Linked DNA regions of Kluyveromyces lactis. The protein of the gene in region 2 purifies or fractionates together with the protein of the main gene of each other region. This does not show direct contact. Links are inferred from orthologs where the notes say so. Each region holds a gene or a part of one and is shown on either strand. Other genes may lie near its edges. The genes, in order: SRP40, PRP43, CBF5 and ASC1.

What was found.
Region 1: the proteins of PRP43 (region 2) and SRP40 purify together in Saccharomyces cerevisiae (affinity purification with mass spectrometry; 3 studies listed by BioGRID). This does not show direct contact. The link is inferred for Kluyveromyces lactis from reciprocal best matches to the Saccharomyces cerevisiae genes PRP43 and SRP40.
Region 3: the proteins of PRP43 (region 2) and CBF5 purify together in Saccharomyces cerevisiae (affinity purification with mass spectrometry; 3 studies listed by BioGRID). This does not show direct contact. The link is inferred for Kluyveromyces lactis from reciprocal best matches to the Saccharomyces cerevisiae genes PRP43 and CBF5.
Region 4: the proteins of PRP43 (region 2) and ASC1 purify together in Saccharomyces cerevisiae (affinity purification with mass spectrometry; 5 studies listed by BioGRID). This does not show direct contact. The link is inferred for Kluyveromyces lactis from reciprocal best matches to the Saccharomyces cerevisiae genes PRP43 and ASC1.

What each region holds. Positions count from the first base shown.
Region 1 is NC_006041.1:1,154,329-1,159,727, forward strand, and holds SRP40 (Srp40p), read left to right. Parts: upstream 1-3,017; coding exon 3,018-4,124; downstream 4,125-5,399. Other genes in the region: TFIIH/NER complex ATPase/helicase subunit SSL2, read right to left, coding at 1-2,492; KLLA0_E13069g (uncharacterized protein), read left to right, coding at 4,706-4,954; LPX1 (triglyceride lipase), read right to left, coding at 5,054-5,399. UniProt on the Saccharomyces cerevisiae protein: Not known; weak suppressor of a mutant of the subunit AC40 of DNA dependent RNA polymerase I and III.
Region 2 is NC_006038.1:39,335-45,844, reverse strand, and holds PRP43 (DEAH-box ATP-dependent RNA helicase PRP43), read right to left. Parts: upstream 3,562-6,510; coding exon 1,258-3,561; downstream 1-1,257. Other genes in the region: KLLA0_B00583g (protein kinase subunit beta), read left to right, coding at 1-1,026; protein kinase COQ8, read left to right, coding at 4,108-5,781; KLLA0_B00517g (La RNA-binding domain-containing protein), read right to left, coding at 5,952-6,510. UniProt on the Saccharomyces cerevisiae protein: Pre-mRNA processing factor involved in disassembly of spliceosomes after the release of mature mRNA.
Region 3 is NC_006040.1:406,531-412,267, reverse strand, and holds CBF5 (pseudouridine synthase CBF5), read right to left. Parts: upstream 2,964-5,737; coding exon 1,539-2,963; downstream 1-1,538. Other genes in the region: type II HSP40 co-chaperone SIS1, read left to right, coding at 1-653; KLLA0_D04774g (uncharacterized protein), read right to left, coding at 3,422-5,737. UniProt on the Saccharomyces cerevisiae protein: Catalytic subunit of H/ACA small nucleolar ribonucleoprotein (H/ACA snoRNP) complex, which catalyzes pseudouridylation of rRNA. This involves the isomerization of uridine such that the ribose is subsequently attached to C5, instead of the normal N1.
Region 4 is NC_006041.1:1,084,201-1,089,608, reverse strand, and holds ASC1 (40S ribosomal protein RACK1), read right to left. Parts: upstream 2,832-5,408; coding exon 2,280-2,831; intron 2,139-2,279; exon of another isoform or gene 2,047-2,138; intron 1,880-2,046; coding exon 1,451-1,879; downstream 1-1,450. Other genes in the region: HEK2 (Hek2p), read right to left, coding at 1-799; APL2 (Apl2p), read left to right, coding at 3,481-5,408. UniProt on the Saccharomyces cerevisiae protein: Component of the ribosome, a large ribonucleoprotein complex responsible for the synthesis of proteins in the cell.

The DNA.
Region 1 (5,399 bases), on a different chromosome or scaffold from region 2:
AGGTATGCCATATCCTCACCACCAGCCAAACCAGCCAAAGATCCTTCGCTCTTAACAGCCTTAGATTTGTTCCTTGGTCTCTTGTTCCCACCATTCTTCCAAATGTAGCTATCGTTATCCTCACCTGCTTCAATGCCTGCAGCTTCTTCGTTTTTGAGAAGAACTTCTTGCAAAAGTTCTCTACGTTCTCTAGCAGAAGAATATGCTAGATTAGGCAAGTTTTCCATACCATGTAGATGGGTGATAACCTTGAAAGCATAACCTTGATCAACTAAAAATGCCTGTCTCTTTGTGGAGTAGTACATTTCTTGAGTATCTTTAGAAACTAGAGAATAGAAGAAGGCGTTGAACCCTTCATCGTTACGTCTCTTAGCTCTTAAAATTCTACCCAATCTTTGTGCTTCTTGACGTCTAGACCCGTAATGAGACGAAATTTGGATCAAACAAGTCGCCTCTGGCAAATCAATCGAAGTATCTCCAACCTTTGATAAGAAAATGGTATTGATTTGGTCATTATATTGAAAATTCTGCAAAATATTCATACGCTCTTGTTGTGGCGTGGAACCGTAAATGAAAGGCTTACCTAGCTTCAAAGCATATTCTTGAAGAGCGTAGACGTTATCTGAAAAGACGATAATTTTATCACCTCTCTTTTCATGATATTGAATCAAAAATTGACACGCCTGGAACTTGGTTGGATTCATAATATATAGTAGCATTCTTTTTCTCGCATTCTCTCTTAGATATTCTTGGTAAAACTCTGCAGTCATTGGACACCAAACTTCCGCACACTGCACATTAGCAATGTGACCTTTCTGTGAAAGTTCCATCCAATTAGCTTCGTAAAGTTTTGGACCAATCAAGAAATTCAAATCACTAATCTTGTCATCTTCACGCACCAAAGTTGCAGTTAAACCTAATTTTGCATGTGCGGCAATAGTGGACACAACACGTCTAAACATGGCTGCAGGTACGACATGTACTTCATCCAAAATAATGAAACCCCATTCTCTACCCGTTAAGAAATCCATAACCTTTTGAGAATCGTACGATCTATTTCTAGTGTTAGCAACCATGGAATAAGTCGAGACCACCAGACCAGATTCAGTTTGGAACATTTCTTTGTTATCTGATGTGAAGACGGCAACATTTTCAGGCTGGAGCGTACACCACTGAAGGAATTGTTGTCTCCATTGCATGACTGACACTGACGAAGTACAAAGCACGATCACAGACTTTTTGATAGTACATGCCGCTGTGATACCGACCAAAGTCTTACCAGCACCGCATGGTAACACAATAATACCACTTCTTGCACGACCGTTACCGAACATTTTGCTCAAGGATTTTTCCTGATATGGTCTGATTTGAGTTGATGGTTTCAAATCGATATCTAAATCTGGATTTCTTCGATCGTTCCTGAAATCATATTCTTCCAACACCGGATAGTCAAGTTCTTGACATCTTTTCTTCACAATTTCGACAGATGCATTGTCAATTTCGAAAGCATGAACCGCATCTATATCATCGTCTTCTTCTTCAAGTTCCTTATTGGCCCCCACGACAGCTGAAAAGACAGCTTCCACATCGTTAGGATCCACTCCCTCTGCATCTACCATCTTATTCGCCATGGTTTTCTTAACCGCAGCATCCACTGCAGCATCGGTATCGATTCTTAGATTACCAATGATTTGATCGTTTAACAACATTTGCAAGATATCAGCTTGAGAAGTTTCCACGAAATATCTATTATGCTTAATGACCAATTTCACCTTACCGTATGATACAGTTGCACTCTTAATGAAGTTGATAATCGAAGGTGCAACAGGAACCTTGGACAATCTGTCCAATACTGCTATGATATCTTCAGTTTCCAAACCAACCGAAACCGCAGCATACAAAGAGTAAGCCGTAATTCTGTACTCATGAATATGAGATGGTCTAGAAACGGGTTCTGCGATCGTCACAAGAAAATCCTGTGCTTGTTCTGCCAATGGAGAGAATGATTCTAAGATCACACGTCCATCGTTAGGCGATATCCATAAAGGCCGCGAGGCATGATCCGGCTTCAATTTTAAGTAGCTGAAATCGTTAGTCTTGAACATTCCTGAAACAACGTCAGGCTCAAAATCAGGGGGAATATCGTCCAAATGTGCATGAAGGATATCATCCTTTGCTGCTAGATTATGGTTCATTCCACTACCAGCAGTTGCAGCAGCAGCAGATCTAGAAGAAGAAGAACTTTTCTTCGATTTCCGACTCAAAAGAGGATTCACTTGAGGAGCAGGAGCGTTCGCCTGCATTAGAGATTCCTTTAACTCAGCTTCCTCTTCTTCATCTAAGACATCATCGTCGATATCTGGGGCAATATCCCCGTATTCTTCATCGTCTGTAACCAAAGAGTCATCTGAAAAAACCGTGTCCTGCACTAATTTCTCCTTTCCACCTCTACTTCTTGTGTGATATGAACGCTTCACTACCTCATCTTCCATAATGACACAATTAGTGTACAGATAGACTCCGGGGATAGACCTTAATTCCCTTGTCCGTCCTTGGACTTTGATTCTTAAACATCTAATTAAAGTTAAAGTTCTCTTAAAATCATCTTTCAGATTAATAATGTTGAGGCAAAAATGATTACCCGGACAAACAATATAACCAGAATGAGCCAAAAACCCAATATAAGTTAGAGTTGGATGACCAACTAATAACCATTGCAACCACTAGGTAGTTCCACGATTAACAATACAACAACGAGGTTGCCGAATAGACGAAAAGGCCGGTTTTGCTAGTTGTTTTTACAGTTTTAGTAGTTGTAAGACTGAAACAACCCATACACCACACCTCAGGACATCGTCACATAGTACGGCAAAAGAAACGTATTGAAAAAAAATTCGAGATTAATAGCGTTATCCAAACGAGATGAGCTTGCGATGAGGTAGGTTCAGATCTTATCCAAGAGCGATTACGATAGGATCACCAGTGGTTTGGGTGAGGAAATAGTCTAATTTTTACAGATGAGTGTTAAGAAGCAAAGTTCCAAGTCTTCAGTGCCAAAATTGACGAAGAAAGATGACAAAAAGGTAAAATCATCGTCAAGTGGTTCAGAGTCTAGTTCCAATTCCAGCGACAGCTCGAGTTCAGGTTCAGGTTCAGGTTCAGGTTCAGGTTCAGATTCGGATTCGGATTCTGGCTCAGACTCTAGTTCAAGCTCTAGCTCAGATTCAGAATCGAACTCTGATAGTAGCTCCAGTTCCAGTTCCAGTTCCAGTTCCAGTTCCAGTTCAGACTCAGACTCCAGTTCAGACTCAGATTCTAGTTCCAGCTCAGACTCTAGTTCCAGCTCAGACTCTGATTCCGACTCAGACTCTAGCTCCAGTGCCAGCTCAGAATCCGATGATGAGGACGAAAAAGACATCAAAATTAAGATAAAAGATGAAAAATCTGAGCCAGTAGCAGTGGAAGTAAAGGTGTCGAAATCGTCAAACTCGGACTCGGAATCTAGTTCTGATTCTAGCTCCGATTCAGACTCTAGCTCCGATTCAAGCTCTGACTCAGACTCCGATTCAAACTCTAGCTCTAGCTCTAGTTCAGATTCAGATTCAGACTCTAGCTCTAGCTCCAGCTCGGACTCTAGTTCGGACTCTAGTTCAGACTCAGACTCAGACTCAGACTCAGACTCAGACTCAGACTCAGATTCGTCCTCAGATTCGTCCTCCTCATCTAGCGACTCCGATAGCAGCGATAGCGAAACTGCAGTAGAAACCGAAACCAACAGCAAACGTCCTCTTGAAACTGAATCTGATTCCACTGAAAATTCCAAAGAATCATCACAAGAACCTTCAACAAAGAAACAAATGATTTCAGCTGGCGTTGATGAAGTATTGCCTGGACAAAGAAAACATTTCTCCAGAGTCGAAAGAGAGAAGATTGCATTTGAACACGAAGTCCTGACAGATAATACATACAAAGGTGCCGCAGGTACCTGGGGTGAAATGGCCAACGATAAGTTGAGCCGTGTGAGAGGAAAAGATTTCACTAAAAATAAAAACAAGATGAAAAGAGGTTCTTACAGAGGTGGGTCTATCACTATGGCTTCTGGCTCCTATAAGTTTACTGATTGATCAATTCCAAACAATTCTCACCTAATGAAAACCATAAACTACCATCATTCACCATCGTCATCTAACTCTTTGGAATAAGAGACAAAACTGTTTCCAATATATACTTACAATCGAAACTATTGTGTATTAAACTGTATAAACCTTCAAAAACCTTTGTCATTGAACAATAAACCGCTTTGTCAATTCCGGACCAATATGGACGGAACCAAATGCCACACTTGACACGCACCCAATTAAGATGCATAGAAGTTGCTGAAAAAGCTGTGAGGAATCTTGGCTCGAACAAACGGATTAGGAAAAAAGTTTTTGAAAAGTCGCGAACGGAAACGATGCACACCATTGGGTACCCACATTTTTGGCCGGTAAGCATTGGTTACCCCTCTCTCGGATAGGCAAGGTTGCAAAGACTATTACTTGTTACTTTTGTAATTGCCATAAATAGAGGCCGGGAAAAGAAGTTTCTTTGATAAGTTCTTCTTCTTCTTTACATATTAATTAAAGTTTCACAAGATTACGTATTTGCAGATAAGGCATTATTAGCAAGCAAGAAAGCAAGCAATAAAATCAGGAATAGAAGCATCATGGGTTTGTTAGACAGTGTTAAGAGCTACGCATCGAAACAAAGTGAAAGCGGTGAAGATTTGGTCAAGAAGGCTGAGGGTTACTTGGGTGAAGAAAGATTGGGTCAAATCAAGACTAAGGTCGGAGAAGAAAACTTCAAGAAGTTCGAAGACCAAGCTAGATCTTTCTTGGGTGAATCTTCCGAAAAGAAGGACTCTACTGAAACCTCTGGTTCAGCCGAAACCTCTACCGAGTCTAAAAAGAACTAAGGCAACTAAGGCTGGAAATAAGCTCTTTACATTGAGTATATAATTTCATAAGTAACATTAACAGATATCCTTTCTGCTATAACTTTAAAACCGCATCTTTCACAACTTTGATTTGGGTTTATTTACGACTCGTGTAGCGACTAATTCTTTGTACAATGGTTCGAACTGATCTCTATTGTTGTGTAATTCATCCACTGAGGCTGATTGGAGTTTTTTCGTAATGTGGCCAAGAAGCATCGGTCCGATTACGTTCGGATTTTCAATGTTCATAAGATGGTCGACATTGTCGATTTGGATGCGTTTGTAATGAGGAATGGTGTCCTGTAACAGCTGATAATTTTCCGGCGGACACCATTTAGATTTACCACCCACGTAGCAAATCACGGGGCTTTCAATCCATTTCAAGTTGTCAATTAACCAGTAAGCATAGGGGTGGAGACACATG
Region 2 (6,510 bases):
AGCGAAGATGGAAGACATCAAAATTCAGCATACACTAACAACTCTCAAGAACAACATGCCAACAAAGTTTCAGGAAATCATTACGATGGGAACGTACAACATCCAGGCCCTGCTATTAATCAGCAGACGCAACCGGTACCTGAACGTAGACCTACCATGGTTCCTGTTGAGATAACGTGGCAACAAGGCGGTTCCAAGGTCTATGTAACAGGTTCCTTCACTGGCTGGCGTAAGATGATTGGCCTTGTACCTGTTACTGACAAACCTGGAGTTTTCCATATCAAGTTACAATTACCTCCCGGTACTCACAGATTTAGATTCATCGTTGATAATGAACTCCGGTTCAGCGACTTTCTTCCCACTGCAACTGATCAGATGGGTAATTTTGTTAATTATCTTGAAATTGTTCCACCTGAGTCGATGCAAATGATGAATTATGAACTGGATGCCCAACAACAGACACAGCAAAAGCAAAATATGCAAAATCAACAACTCTCAGATAATGTTTCTCAATCTCAGAAAATTCGCGATCAAACCATCCAGTCACAGGTTAGAAGGCAACCATCTCAAAGTAAAGATGGCAAATTAAGTGCCAGATCCCAGCTTGCTTTGCATATTGAAGAAGACCCTGATGATATGGGAAACGGATACACCCGTTTCAAAGAGGAACAACAGCTAAAGACCGATTATGAGTATACTCAGGATATCCCTGCTGTCTTTACAGATCCTTCGGTGATGGAACAGTATTATCTCACATTAGACCAGCAACAGAACAATCAACAAAATATGTCATGGTTAACTCCTCCACAACTTCCACCTCAGTTGGAGAATGTTATTCTCAATAATTACAACAAAAATGCTGAACCAGGTAGTGAAAATAATTCAGGTGCGTTGCCAATTCCTAACCACGTCGTTCTTAATCATTTAGCAACGTCTTCTATTAAACATAATACTTTATGTGTTGCTAGCATCGTTAGATACAAAAGAAAATATGCAACACAGATACTATATGCGCCATTGCAATGAAACCACTCCTAGAGATTTGATTTTATATTTTTTACACTGAAATATCATAAGCGAAGTTCTTATGGGTTGAATATAAAACGTACACCATACCGAATTTCAATAAAATGCAGCAAAAAAAACGTAGACTTTGAGTCGCGTGCTAATAATACCGCACAATACTTCTACAATAAGACTTATCATGCTGATTCTAAGGTTAATCTTATTATATAAGTTACACATCTATATGCTTGGTTATTTCTTAGACTTTTTAGATTTCGCACTTTTTTTTTTTTCTTGTTGTAGCTCCACCATTTTATCGAGCTTTTGCTTTACCCTTTCTAACGATAGTTTAATGTCACCTTTTTGGAAGTGATCGAGGTCATAATAAGCTGGTGCTAATTCTATTAACCATTCAGGTCTAACTGATGTTACAGTTCTAATGTAGTTTTTGGAGGTTAGAACGAATTCATTGTATACAACCCATTCGGCATCATGGCCCAAAACAGTTGAAGGATGTATCAAAACATCTTGGTTATCTTTGACTGTGATATAACCTTTTCCGCCAGATCGTTTTTTTGCGACCTGCATAAAGAAGCCTGCAGCTAACGCTTTTCTAATGTTATCGAAATATCTAGGGGAGTCATAATCTGTAGTGTTCAACTCGAGATTGTAACGAACCATCAACCTTTCCAATTGGTTGCGGATGTTGTCAGCAGCAGATAGAGATCTATAATTTAAAAAGTTGTCGCGGCACCACTTGTTGATCCCGTACTCATAAGCTTCGTCTGACTTGAATGCATGGTAGACATTCAATAATGTTAGGTGGTCGCCATCAGGATGTGCAAATATGTTCTTTGCGTCATCTGATCTTTTCTTATCTTTCGAAGGACGAATGAAAACACTAGGTACGGATAACATGGCGACAATCGTTAGCATCTCTTCGGAACAAGAAAATTCGGGGGATCCAATCAACATTACCGCAAGCATTGGATCAAGAGGGAATTGAGAAGCCAATCTACCCAAAGGTGTTAAATTACCATCGTCATCTAAACATGCCAAAAAGTTTAATTCTTCTAAGGCTCTCATCATAGTTTCTGGGGCAGGAGGGTCCATGAAATCGAAATGCACCAAATCGTCAATGCCTAGTTTCTTTAGTTCTAAGACTGTCGAAGAAAGATTACTACGGAGAATTTCAGGATATGATTGCTCGATAAGTTCCTTTTTGAAAGCTTCTTCAGTATATAGTCTGAAACACTTACCAGGTCTGGTACGACCAGCTCTACCAGCTCTTTGTTGAGCTGATGCCTTTGAAATTGGAGAGACCAAAAGGGATTCAACTCTAATTCTTGGGTTGTAAACTTTTTGCTTAGAGAAACCAGGATCAACAACATACACAATACCGTCAATAGTCAAAGAGGTTTCTGCAATATTAGTAGATACAATGACTTTTCTACCAGGTCTTCCATTATGGGATTCAGGAGCAGGTTCAAAAATGCGCTGTTGTTGATGTGGAGGCAAAGAACCGTATAATGGATATACAGAGATAGGACCACAACCTTGCTCTCTAATTAACTGATCCCCTTCTAATGATATTTTCCTTACAGCATCTTCAATCTCATCTTCACCGGTTAAGAATAACAAAATGTCACCCTTCTCCTCCGTAGCATGGATCTGTAAAACAGTTCTTATAGCACTATCCAAATAATCTCTTTGGAATTCTGGTGTATAGTAGATCTCCACTGGATGTGTCCTACCAGGGACAGCTAAAAGTGGCGCCTTATTAAAGTATCTTTGGAATTTCTCAGCATCTAAAGTAGCAGACATGATAATAATCTTCAAATCAGGTCTACGATCAATAACCTGTTTCAAAAGACCCATCAAGATATCTGTTGCCAAAGTACGTTCGTGTGCTTCATCTAAAATGATACAAGAGTAACGTTTCAAGTCATGGTCTTCCATGGCTTCTCTTAACAACATACCATCAGTCATATATTTCAAGATAGTTTTATTAGAGGTCTTATTTTCGAATCTAATGGAATAACCAACTTCTTCGCCTAGTTTGACGTCCATTTCTTCAGCAACTCTCTGTGCCACAGACATGGCAGCAACCCTACGAGGCTGCGTACAAGCAACTTGAGTATTTTGTAAATGTGGCATTTCATCGAACAGCACAAATTGAGGAATTTGAGTGGTCTTACCGGAACCCGTTTCACCAACAAAAACCATGATCTGGTTTTCTTGATAGATCTTCAAGAATTCATCTCTTTGAGCGTGCACTGGCAAGTCTCTTCTTACCTTTAGAATACCGAAATATTTCTCTGATAGTGAGCCACCAGTGAATGGATTAACTGATCCATTTTCCAATCTTTCGGCATCGGCCGCAGTAGTGTGATGGCGTTGCATCCCGCTGAACTCACCAGAATCATGATGAATTAAAGGCTCTGCTGCTGGTGGAGGGTGATCTTTGGTTAATTTTTCTGCGATTTCAGCTGCATGCTCCGGAATAGAAGTCTCAACAGCAGACACATGCTCGTTTGAAAACCTTCTTTTGCCCATCGTCAATTACTCAACGTTTGATGTTTTGCAACTGGTAATGCGAATAATCTCTAACGGAGTAAACCAAACTCAGCAGTAGTATCTAATATTCAGGGGATTTTATAACCACTTAACCTACTATCTCTAGTATTGAACTACACTAGATGAGATGAGATGAGATGAGCTTAATGTTACAATTTGCATTAAAATTTTTAAAAAAGAAAAAACTACACGTCCATATGTCAAAATCGCAATTCCATCATTACCCGGATAACAAAGGTTAGAATGGCAAGAGCAAGCAAGCAAACAAGCATCTATTTGAAATTCAAAAGATGGATTATTCTGCAAGATATCTGTACGATTCGACTCTCTCATGAAATAAGGAAAGGTAATAAAGTAAAGACAGAGTCTTAATCCATTCTTATTACGCTGTATATTCATGAATTTGACCATTGACTCGTAGTATCATTGGATAGATCAAATACTTTCACCCTTTATTTTTGATCTTGTGATATCTGATAGTTCTTCGGCTGAATTAATTGATATCGAGAAGTATCGCTGTATTCAATGTCGAGAAAAGGGCTATATCAAGCTATCTGTTTATCAGAGTCCTTCTGCAACGTGGTAAAAAATTCTGCCTCGATTGGTAGACAGTCTCTTGATATTTGGCTAAAAACTTCCACTTTGACAAGACCGGTACTGTCTAAATTTCAATGGTTTTACGACAAGGACTGGGAACATGCCCGTAAACTTTCTGAATCCGTCAGAAAATCTACGAAAGGGCACTCTTCTAAAAAAGCACACCTTAGCAAGTGCTCAGTCAAGAACAAAAAAAATGTGAGACATTTTTCATCTTATCACAGGTGTTCTAATAAAGCAGCTGACGCTATTCCAGAGGATAAATTGGTGAACAAACAAAAGGCTAATAAACTGGAAAGTTCAGAAGTCCCTTCATCACGTATCTCTCGGCTTTTTCATTACGGCCACCTAGCTGCTAGTGTGGGTATTTCTGCTGCATCTCAAAGTATCACTCAGCTGAGTCGTGGCCAATCATCAAGTTTTAAAGATTTACTGTTATCAGATTCTAATGTTGAAAGGATTGCAAATAAATTCTCTCAAATGAGAGGAGCAGCATTAAAGTTGGGCCAACTAATGTCATTCCAGGATGAGAAGGTTTTACCTCCGCAATTATACACGATACTTTCAAGAGTTCAGAACAGTGCTAATTATATGCCTCCAAGACAGTTGGACAGGCTACTGGCTAGAGAATTGAGTTCTGATTGGGAAAAGAAATTCAAGAGTTTCGACAGGACTCCTATCGCTGCAGCAAGCATTGGTCAAGTTCATAATGCTGTTTTGCACAACGGCGAGGAATGTGTCGTGAAGATACAATATCCAGGAGTCAAAGACTCTATTGACAGCGACCTAAACAATCTTCTTATGTTATTAACTGCTTCCAGTTTATTACCAAAGGGATTGTTTTTGGATAAAACCATTGATAATGCTCGTAAAGAATTAAAGTGGGAATGTGATTATCATAGAGAGGCTAATGCATTGAAGCATTTTGCTAGTTTGTTGAAAGACGACCCTGTTTTCGAGGTACCGTTTGTATATGATGAACTGACGACAGAGAACATCATAACTATGCAGAGAATGAAAGGTACTGAAATCACGAAGCTTCCGGTTAACACACCACAAGAAGTCAGGGATTATATTTGTGATAACATAATGAGATTGTGTCTACAGGAGATTGCTCAATTCAAATACATGCAAACGGATCCTAACTGGGCCAATTTTCTATACAACTCCAAAACCAAAAAAATTGAACTTTTAGATTTCGGTGCTAGTAGAGGTTTCCCCGAACCCTTTATCCATAACTACCGTAAGTTATTAACTCAAGCTACAAAAGGTGATCGTATCGGTGTGGCGGAAACATCAGTGGAGCTAGGCTATTTGACAGGCCTAGAATCAACCGCTATGGTGGATGCGCATGTTGAATCTGTCATGACTCTTGGTGAACCATTTTCAGGTGATCCAGAGAAATCCTTTGATTTTGCTAATCAAACTGTCAGTGACAGAGTCAGATCAAAGATTACTGTTATGTTAAATGAAAGATTATGCCCACCCCCAGAGGAAACCTATTCCTTGCATAGAAAGTTCAGTGGAGTATTTCTATTATGCTCAAAGATGAGAGCAAAAGTCTCATGTTCTAAACTGTTTAAAGAATATTTTGCTTTATGAATACAGGAGTGTAAATAGATCTAAACACCATCCGCTGTTCTTTTCAAGTACTTCTAACAACTTAGAAATTTTAATGTAAGTAATGACAAGATATATCAAAAATTTGAAAAATTACAAAAATAGAACATAAAAAAGATCCGAGAATAGCCAAGTGCAAAAGACTTTAAGTATCATTTCACTATCCACCTTTGCCAAGAATCTCTTAATCTCACTCTGCTCCCAGAAATCTCAAAAATGTCAGGTTCTGATAACCTAAAGGCATTCTTTAGAACTTTAGTTCTTTGTTCAACCAGTGCTAACTTTGGTAATAAAGTTTTTATTCTGGGGAACTCAGAAAATATACTAATCGATAGGTACCCATCTTTGCTCATCAAAGATCTAAGATAAATGTCCCGAAGTAAATTGTTCGCGGAAAAATAGAATAATATTTGCTTATTGACATCTTCGATCTCTTTTACAATGCCCGCCAAAGGAGATAGTTCATATGTAGTGACAATTTGGAACTCTCCATACGGAGGTAATCTCGTAACGATTTGTCTGACTGCTGAAAATTCCCCATAATCTACTGTAATCGGACCAGACGATACCGGACCGTCCTGTAACAACTTCTGCGAGACAATCGCTGATTCATCATCTATCCTACCTATCGGATGCTGTCTGAAAATACCATCCTTATCGAAATTTTCCAACAGAGGCGTTAGAGGGGTGAATTGGGTATAATCTTGAGTC
Region 3 (5,737 bases), on a different chromosome or scaffold from region 2:
CTGGTGATGATTTCGGGTTTGGAGGCAGTAGTTTCCATTCCTCTTCGGGCGGCATGCCAGGCGGTATGCCAGGTGGAATGCCAGGTGGAATGCCAGGTGGATTCAGTAGACAACAGGCTAGACCTGAAGAAGAAGTTGTTCAGGTCAATCTACCTGTGTCCTTAGAAGATTTATTCAGCGGTAAGAAGAAATCATTCAAGATCACAAGAAAAGGCGCCGGTGGTGTGTCCGAAAAGAACCAAATTGACATCCAATTGAAACCAGGTTGGAAAGCAGGTACCAAGATTACTTTCAAAGGTGAAGGTGACTATAATCCAAGAACTGGTGGTAGACAAACATTACAATTCGTTCTACAGGAAAAACCACACGAATTTTTCACCAGACAAGACAATGATTTGATTTACACTTTACCACTTTCTTTCAAAGAATCTCTTCTAGGTTTCTCCAAGCAAGTACAAACCATCGACGGTAAAACAATTCCAATCACAAGAACGCAGCCAATTCAACCTACTCAAACCTCAACATATCCCGGACAAGGTATGACACTGTCAAAGAATCCTTCCCAAAGAGGTGATTTGATTATTAAGTTCAAGATCGATTATCCAACCTCTTTAACACCTCAACAAAGACAAGCCATTATGGATAACTTCTGAATGAAAGATGAAGAATGTCTTTATAACGAAAATAAATCATAAAAGTATGACATGACGATTGCAAATTTAGACTTCTGACGGTGATCATGTTTACAATTCAACGTCTGCCAGAAATATTATCTTCCCACCATTATGGTTCTATGTCATATGTTTTCATTTCTTTAAATGTTTACTCCCATTAATTATTTCCAATTCAAATGTTCCATTCACATTCACTTCAGCAGAAGCAATCTTATCGTATGGCTACATTGTCTGTCGATTAATGCGTTAACTTTCTGACCACACTGTACACTATTTTCAAAAAAATATCCTTCGGTAAATGAAGCACGCAACATAAGTTGAGGACGCAATATAATATGCGAGAGAATACAAGGAGAATTATTCAATGATTGTTAATACTGGTAAAGTAAGAAACGGGACGTTTCATTGTGACACCTCGACTTCTGTTCACAATGTAACCATTTGCATAGATTTTAACCTTCATTTACCTTTTTATTGAGCAAATGACATCATGCAAATAAAAGACATACCAATCTGCAAGTTTCCCGACTTCTATTTGGTTCCGAACAATTGATGTCTGCCAAAAAAAAAAAAACTCCAAGTATTATTATCAAATCTTCTATCTACCTCATACATTTACCATTACTTTTTGCCATTACTTCAATTGAAGACGTAATGGTGTCTTCACACGCGCATAAATAATTTACAAATTTATATATACGAATACAATGATATACAACATCGACACAGGGTACAAAAAACAGTCGTGACGAAATACGTTTTTCAATGATTAAAAATATTCTACAGTGTACATAACCTAAATGATAAACTCTATGCAGTTTTGAAATTTCGATCGATGATATGAAGGACTTAGATTGTAGTCGTTTATTTCTTTGACTTCTTCTTCTTCTTCTCGGAAGACTCATCATCGTCAGCCTTTCTCTTCTTCTCCTTCTTCTCCTTCTTTTCCTTTTTCTCCTTCTTGTCCTTCTTCTCCTTCTTTTCCTTCTTGTCCTTCTTTTCTTCTGGTGTCTTTGATTCTTCCTTTGATTCTTCCTTCTGTTCGACTTCCTTCTTTTCTACTTCTTTGATCAGTGGTTTTTCTTCTGATTTGGATGCAGGGGCGGTAGTTGGTTCAGCATTCTCCAATGAAACGTAAGTCTTCTTCCAGGTCTCTGGAGTATTTTCGTTGGCACGGCCATATTTGTCTAGCTTACCGTCAGCCTTCATTTGTTTTTTCTTTTGGGCAATTGGACCAAGACCCCATCTTCTTGGATATAGGTCTCTTTCCATGATACATCTCTTAACCTTGGCAACAACTCCGTGGTCACAAGTAGCTAAATCGACAGTAGACATTTGAGCAATGGCAACTGCAATGGCCTCACCCTTGGTGGTGATTAATACAACTTCGTCATATAATTCAATACCTTCCTCATAACGAAGTAGACCTGGAATCATCAACTTGGCACCGTAACAAACAGCGTTAACAGCAGAATCTTTGACAACAATTCTTTTGTAACCGACTAATAGAGTTTCTAATGGTTGAATGATCTTTCTTAGGTAGGATTCATCCCTGGTGTTATCGTATACCCATTGTGCATCCATAACATCATGTAGGGTGACCAAGTTATCGTTTTCGGACAAAGCACCGGATCTAACACGACGCAACTCTTGCATATGGCCACCGACACCTAAAAGCATACCAAGATGGACACATAAAGTTCTCATATAAGTACCAGCTTCACAGGAAGCCCAGAAAACACCCAAGTTCCTCTTGTTGTCAAATTCGATCAAGTTGGAGTCATAAATGGTACGGACACGTAATTGACGCTTAACAGCAGAAATTAAAGGAGGTCTTTGGAACAAAGCACCAGTCAAATTTTCTAAACCTCTGCCCAATTCCTTCTCGTCCTTAAGGGCATCGTGCAATCTAACGATACAAACATACTCTTTACCAGCACCTTGTTGAGACTTGACCAATCTGGTAGCTCTGTCAACACAGACGATCAAACAACCAGTGACTTTAGGATCTAAAGTACCAGAATGACCTGTTTTTTCGCAACGCAAGATACGCTTGATCCAAGCAACAACTTCGTGAGAAGATGGGTTTGAAGGTTTGTCCAAATTGATGACACCAGAACTGATATATGACTTCAAATCTCTCTTCAAAGGAGAGGCACCAGCTGGAATTGGTGTGTAATGACCACTTCTGACTAATAGTTTGTCATAGTCCTTCAACAATAAAGGCCACTCACTAGTGTTACTAGATGGTGAAACACTCTCTGGCTTAATAACAAATTCGTCAGACATCGATCTCTATCTTACTTATTAGCTTTCTAACGAACAATCCAGTACACTATCTCCTTCAAATATCGAGAGAAAACAATAAAAGGATAGTAGCAACAATATCGTAAAGCAGAATCTACACTAAAGTGACAGTTTTTAGTCCAGTAAGATGAATCTACTTCTAATAGAACTCTATACTTTTCTTGTTAAAGCTCATCTCATCTCATCGTCTTCATCAAATTTTTTTCTTCAGGTAGAAAATTTTCAGATATCTCAAAAAGCAATTATTTCCGGGTAATGAATTATATTCACCTTGACGTTTAAGTATATATGACAGACATTGGAAATAGCATTGCCAAGTGAGAGTAGTTTTTATAGCCTTCTAGGAAGTGAGTTTGCATTTTTATTTAATGGACTAAACTAGCTGCTAATATGTTCATTATGTTAGGTTAAATTCTGTTAACTTAGTACGCTGTTTTCATTCAGATAGATTCCAAGTACTTGGCGTTATAGTTGTTCTTCAAAGCGCTAGCCCAGTTCCTAGTGGATAACTGTGCGATATTTGAAGTTGAATAATCTGTCTCAATTCCAGTTGAAAATATGGAATCTTCTTTGTCTGGCGATAGCTCTGATGTGTTTTGGTTTTGCTTCCACTCTCGGAGCTTTTGTATAATTTGTTTAGCGTTGTGTTTCGACCTTGAGGAACAGTTGCTATTCACATTGGCTACTTTAAGCTCACGGAGTGAATCATTAAAACCTTGTTTTTGTTCTGATATGTAGTGTAACTCTTCGTTTCTATTGTCTTTATTTTCTATGCCATCACTAACACTTGTAATGGTGATCGCAGGTTTGTATTCTGGTTTGGGCTTGTTGGAGACCATATTGTCTCTGATATTTTGGAACATATCTCTTTTCTTCATAAAATAATTCAAAGTCCGGTTTGTAGACCCGAATCTATCCACATTATTGCTGTATATGGCACTAAGCGCAGATTCTGCTTTAAGAGTAACTTTTAAGGCACTACTTAAAGTTTTCTCGTAATTAGTCCTGTAGCTTTGTAGTTCATTATGATACATGTCAGCATTTTTATCTATTTCACGTTTCATCGCTAACAACCTTTTTTGAAACTTCTCATTGAAAAATGCAAGGTCTTCCTTCTTCTTTTTGATAACCTCGTCATGTTTTGACTTTAAAACTATGTTTTCATTACTTAAAATTGCAACTTTTGTCTCAAGTCCCCTGTATCTGCTCTCATTATTTTTTATTTCTGTCACCTTGTTGTCTATTATCAGATCCAATAGACTGATACGGTGGTTTAACTTAACGATTTCCTCTTCTTTTGAATCCAATGCCTTCTCGTAGTCTGTTCTGTCCCAAACCTTTAAAATTCTGCCTCTTTCAGCCTTTGAGAGATCTTTTAATTTAGCAATTTCCCTTTCATGCTTCACTGACAAAAGCTCCAAATCCTTTGCCTTTGTCTCCACTTGCTTTTTCAAAGAACGATTTTCTACCTCCAATGAGCTTATTATAATGTTTTTTTCCGTGACAATGTCCTGTAATTGACGATATGCACTGGCAACTGCCTTCAAAGATTCATTTTCTCTCTCTAACAAAGAGCAATTCTCGGTATAGAACTCACATCTCTCTGTAAGTTCGTTCATTTCGGCATTATGTTCCAATTTTAGAATCATTTCGGTTTGCATTGTGCTGAAATATTGGCATATATCATTCAAATATACCATTAATGAATCAATTCTATCTTTTGTATCTTTCTGCCACTCTTCGTAAAACTCTTGACTGAAAAACAGATTTAAAACACCGGTCATGCCTTCCATTGCGGTATTCACAAGTTCTAATGATGAATTATTGTGCGCCTTTTGTCTAGAATACTGAACTTCTACCTCCTGTAAAGTACGTTCAAGATCATTCAACTTCTGAACATGTATAGTGGTCAACTTGGAAAATTCTTCCTGTTTACTCTCATGTGCAGTTGAGTCGATGAGGCGCTGCTTTTCTAATCTTTTCACCATATTTCTTAAGTGATTGTTCTCTTTCAATCCTACATTAATGTTTCTCCATAAAAAGCCTAATATTTTGGCTAAACATGGATGCAAGCACGTTAAGGATAGCCTTAGATCGTTACACTCCTTTAACTCTTCTGGGGCACCTACTAATTCGAATAATGCAGTCATCCTCTCCTTAAGTGATAGATCTGGGAATGGAACCGGTCCAAGTTTTGTAACATCTTCGAACTTGTTGTAACTGTCAGTATATTTGAAGATCCTATTAGATGTGGACAATACCCCATTTGAAGTAGGGGGAATAGTATGATTTTTATTCCGTTCTGTTGTGCATGGTGGAAGATTACTATCGAATAGCTGTATTTCGTGGCCATCTTGTGCAACAAACCCTACTTTTCTCCGTAGCTGAACCTTGGAACTTTCATGGTCGTTCTCGACACAAAAAGCAGGAGATTCTGGATCTGAAATTATCTTCTCCTTGTTCTCTGCATCTTTAAACTTTTGCAAAGGACTTGGTTCATTTATATTAAACACATTAGGATCAAATATACATTCCTTTTCGAGATCCTCATATCTAAATTTCACAGATTCCATGTAATATTTGGCAAATTTAGAGCATTTTTCCACGTACGTCTTTGATTCCCTATCGTTTTGAAGAAGCTTCTCGATCTTTGATAGCCTCGTGTTTCCATCTCCACAAAAATCTTGTTTATCTTTCGTTTCATCTTTTTTTTTACCTAAATGCTGATTTTCAGACATTTCATTTACATCAACAGC
Region 4 (5,408 bases), on a different chromosome or scaffold from region 2:
ATTCTTTTGGAATAGCCAACGTTTGAGACACTTGGATCTCTTTTGTATGTTTAGAATGAGGATAGTAACGGGGCAAAGTTCTTGGAGGTACATGGACGTCGTCTTGAATGAACAGTTCTGCGATTTCGTTGATACAGTTGGCAACCGAGGTAGGGAACCCTTGAATCTCCAATACTCTATCCTTAGAATCGGGCAAGAAATGTTTCGAGGCAACGAGTTTAACAGTATGCGTTTCAATCAATTTCTTAATCTTGGCACCTTGTTGGCCAATGACTGACGAAATCTGTGGGTTGGTACAGATTAATCTCAAATTACCAATTTGTTTCCATTTCTCTGGATCCTCAATCTCTTCCTTCGATGCTGGAGGTAACATGAATCTTAGATGCTTGAAAACGTGTTCCTCAGGCTCGTAATCCGTAGTTAGCACACGTAATACTTGACCCAACGAATTGGCCACTTGTCTTGGGGGACCACTAACATTCAATAACCTATCAGAACATGATTTTTCACGAGGTGATATACCGATTTTGATATCGTTTTCCCTCCTTATCGTCTCAATGGTATTCCCCTGAGGGCCAATGATCTTTGCTGCTTCTTTCAAAGAAACAAGGACGTGGAATGTAATATTGTTACCGTTGTTCACTTGGCTATTAGTATCATTATTAATTTCATTTACTTCATTATAACTGTTGTGGAATTGACTAGCATCGTTAATACTATTACTGTTGTTATTGATAGAGTCAACAGCAGCAGGGAACCTGCTGCTACTGTTGTTGGAATTATCAGCAGAAGATGACATAATTTTTGGATATGATCTGTCCTGTAAATATTAGAGTGATATTCTTGTACCTTTTAAAACGAACAAAGAAACAAATGGTTTAATTTACAATTTACAATTTACAGTAGCAAATATAATCTGAATACACAAAAACAATATGAGCAGTAGAAGAACCAAGTCCAGTCCAACCTAAGCTAATGTAAGTTTAAGTTTGTTAATATGAAAAATTTTAATTGAAACGGAATATTTTGCAAAGAGGTTTAAAGTGAACGGTAAAAGTTCAAAAAGTAAATAGAATTGCCATTATAGATAGAGTACGAGTTTCTGCGTTTTCGCCAGGAAGAGAGAGAAAGAAAGGGTGATATGAAGAAAGGGAAGCTAAGGTACCGGGTTGCCCTTGGAATAGCCCTGTGCCACGGTTTTGCCTAACCGAAATGCATATTATGCATGTATAGGTAGAAACCATTGAAAACATAATAATAAGCTAAGATAACAATATCGGAACTCTTATAAGACAGATTAACCGAGGGGAGATCTAATATTATAATGTAAGTTTTTGTATAACTAATATATACATAAGGGATTTATGTTATGATTTATTGGTAATGACGACGACCAAGAATAAATTGTAGGGAATAAAAGCAAAATTAAGAGATTTTAAATTGCTACAACTTAGTTGGCGGTCATGACTTGCCAAACTCTGATGACGTTGTCGGTGTAACCGGCGAACAAAGTTTGACCATCAGCAGACCAAGCCAAAGAAACGGCGTGTGGGTCTTGAGCCTTGGTGTAACCAGCAAATTCTGGCTTCAATTCGTCGATCAAGACTTCGTTTTCCAAGTCGTAGATCTTGATACCAGAAGCAGTAGCAGCGGTCAACCAGAATCTGGATGGAGAGAAGGCCAAAGCAAAGACTTCGTCCTTAGCGTCGAAGTTCATGAAGGCGCTCTTGTGCTTCAAGTTCCAGACGTAGATTTGACCGTCCTTACCAGCAGAAGCAGCTAGAGATCCATCTGGGGATGGTTGAACAACGTTGATGTAGTTGTTGTGACCGATGAAATCAGCTTCGATTCTGTAAGAGTCTTCGTTCAAAGACCAGGACTGTAGTTAATAAGGGGAATGGAAGATAATTCCCAAAATATTGTTAGTAAAAATGATATTTGGTTCAAAGCCATGAGATATATCTGGGAATACAGGCCCAAATTGCTCGCTCCATGATATTCAAATGCACAAAACTCAATTCAAAATTTTAATTCACTAATTAAAAAGACATCAGAGATCTTGGTGATAATTAGTATGTCTCATTCGAAACCATGTAAGGTTACGTCTGAAGTAGCAAATATAAGAAACATCATTTGTCATAGTATAGTGAATTGAGCCATGTATTTTGAGAATATATTACGGGGAAACAACTGAGGACCTGAATTCCAAGGTAAATCAATCTAATCGGGAGATAGGCAATGCAATGCAATGCAATAAAAGAAAAAAGTCTGGCACATACTCTAACGATCTTGTCCATACCAGCAGAAACGAAAGTGATTCTACCGTCATCGACTTCACCGTCTTCCAAGTTCTTTGGAGCAACTCTGACCTTGGTAACCCAGTCGGTGTGACCCAACAAGACGTAGGCACAGTCACCGACAGTGTTCCAAACTCTGATGGTCTTATCTCTGGAAGCAGAGATAATCTTAGAAGAGTTAGCATCAATGGCAACGGACAAAACATCACCGGTGTGACCAACAAATCTAGCTTCAGAGTTACCAGTAGCCAAGTTCCACAATCTCAAGGTCTTATCCCAAGAAGCAGAAACGGCGTAGTTACCGTCAGCAGAGACAACAACATCTTGAACGATGTGAGAGTGACCCTTGTAAGATCTAACTGGGACACCGAATTGTTGTTCGTTTTCGGTCAATCTCCAGGAGATCAAAGTCTTATCTCTGGAACCAGAAACCAACAAGTTTGGTTGAGCAGCAGAGGTAGACAAAGAGGTGACCCAGCCGTTGTGACCTTCTAGGGTACCTCTCAAAACAAGCATAATATTGCTGGAAGACATTTCTTTTCAGTTAATTCCTTGAGATGTGTTGTTCTGATGAATCAAAAGAAGAGAATAGATAACAATTTCAATCAACAAGAACTGATAGCTTAATACTAATGCAGTAAACTCTTGCAAGTTATATCAAGTTCTTAATACTTTCTCAATATTCAAGTGATGAGCTTTGGCTAGAAAAGAATTTTTTTTCAATGTGCGTGGTGCGTGCTGAGTGGTACGCTGAATGGTGTAAGGGTGTCGCGCGTATCTTTTGGTCTGGCAACTCTGAGGACTGTGTTTTTATAAAAAGTCGGGTATATCAGTACACCACACTGCGGTGCGTAAGAATTTACGCAGAAGTGTGAATCTCCCTTAGCAATTTCCCTAATCAGGTAGTAACCATTCTTATTAGGAAGTGAGATCTCTCAATACCGTAACCCGGACATCATATGATGTCCGGGTTACGGAATCTTCCGATACACGTGAGCACACACGTGACCTCGCCAGCAAGCTTTCACTTTCCAGTATTCATAGAAAACATCAATCAAATTAACTGGAATCTGTATATAAATAGATGAACCTGTTTATATTCAAGACTCTGTCCCCAAGCGATTAGTCTTCCTTCCTCCAGCCAATTGCTTGCTCTGCTTTCTCATAAATACCAAGGGAAACAATGGGTGTTGATAAGAAGATCAAGAAGTTCTTAAGAGACGCCATACGAGTGGCTCCTAAGATTTCCAATAAAGGTGAATTGTTTGAACTACGAAATGGATTAGTATCTCAGTACCCACAGACCCGAAAGGACGCGATCCGTAAGATTATTCAACAGATGACTTCCGGCAAAGATGTTTCATCTTTGTTTCCCGACGTTTTGAAGAATATAGCCACTCAAGACATTGAACAGAAGAAATTGGTATACCTTTACGTGGCTAATTATGCAGAAACTCATCCGGAGTTATGCATCCTTGTCGTGAACACATTCGTCAGCGATGCAGCTGATCCGAACCCATTGATTAGGTCTATGGCAATCCGTACCATGTCGATGATCAGAGTTGATAAGATCTTGGAATACATTGAGATTCCGCTAAGAAAGACTCTAGTCGATGATAATCCGTACGTGAGAAGAACCGCGGTACTATGCGTTGCAAAATTGTTCCAATTGAACCCGGACCTATGCCGTGAATTGGGCGTATTGAACGATTTGCAAGACGCTTTGTCTGACGATAATCCAATGGTTGTTGCCAACGCGCTTGCCGCACTGCACGAAATTAACGAATTGGACCCTGGTTCAATAGATATCAAGAAATTAGTATCTCAAAACGTTAAGAGGTTTTTGAACGTGTTGAACGAATGTACAGAATGGGCAAGAATCACTATTTTGGAGTCATTGAGCGAACACAAACCAATTGACCCTATGGAGTCTCAAGAAATTATCGATAGAGTTGTTCCACATTTGCAACACGTAAATCCATCAGTGGTCTTGATCAGTGTTAAATGTATACTCATACATCTACCAAATTTGAACACAGTCCATGACTCTATATACAACAAGTTATCAACTGCATTGGTCTCACTAATGTCGACCCCAGTGGAGATCCAATATGTTGCTTTGAGAAATATAAGAATTATTTTGGATGCCTTCCCAAACTTGTTAAGGAAAGAGTTAAGAATATTCTATGTCAAATTTAATGATCCATTGTACGTGAAGATAGAGAAATTAGACATCTTGCTCAGATTAGTGCCCGTGGATAATTTGAAACATTGCCAGATGCTTTTCAACGAATTAAAAGAATATGCAAAGGACTTTGATCATGAATTCGTGACCAAAGCTATCCAATCCATCTCACAATTGGCCATTAAAGTCTCGAACGGAGGTGAAGATACGAATAACAAGTTTTTGAATATGGTCATGGAAGAATTCGTTTCGATTGTCCAGGAGAGAGAAGAGTTTAGGGATATATTGATGAGATGCGTATGCGACATGTTACGTTATGACAGTGACAACAATCTTATCAAGGAAACAAGTAAGAATGAGTTGGGTGCCATAATTTCCTCATGGCAAGATATCGATACCATATTTACATCTGATCTAGGCAGTTGTAACTACATCTGGTTTATCACCAACTATACAAACGAAAATTTGGAAACTAAGCTTGAACCACTGGTAGAAGTTTTCGATGAATTAGGATCCCTAACTCAAATGTCCCTTCTAATGGGTGTAGTGAAATGCCATAATGCAGTCTCAAGTGCTTTCTTACAGAAGATCTTGGAACTTTGTACGACAGACGTCCACGATTTGGACGTTAGAGACATGGCCATGATGTACTGGCGGTGTCTATCGATCGACAACGGTGATCAAATCATCAACCAATTATTTGACAAGCATGAAATTCCTAAATTGCATTCTACCTTGGACCACTTCTCCAAGGAAACATTACAAAGTCTACTTCAAGAGCTCTCCACTCTATCCTCTGTGTATTTCAAACCAATCTCGCAGATGCAACGCCGTCCCAACGAAGTTCACATCATTAAGGATAAGGATATTGATGAATTAAAGGGAATGGCCACGAACGAGATCCTGAAAAACATGAACGATGATGT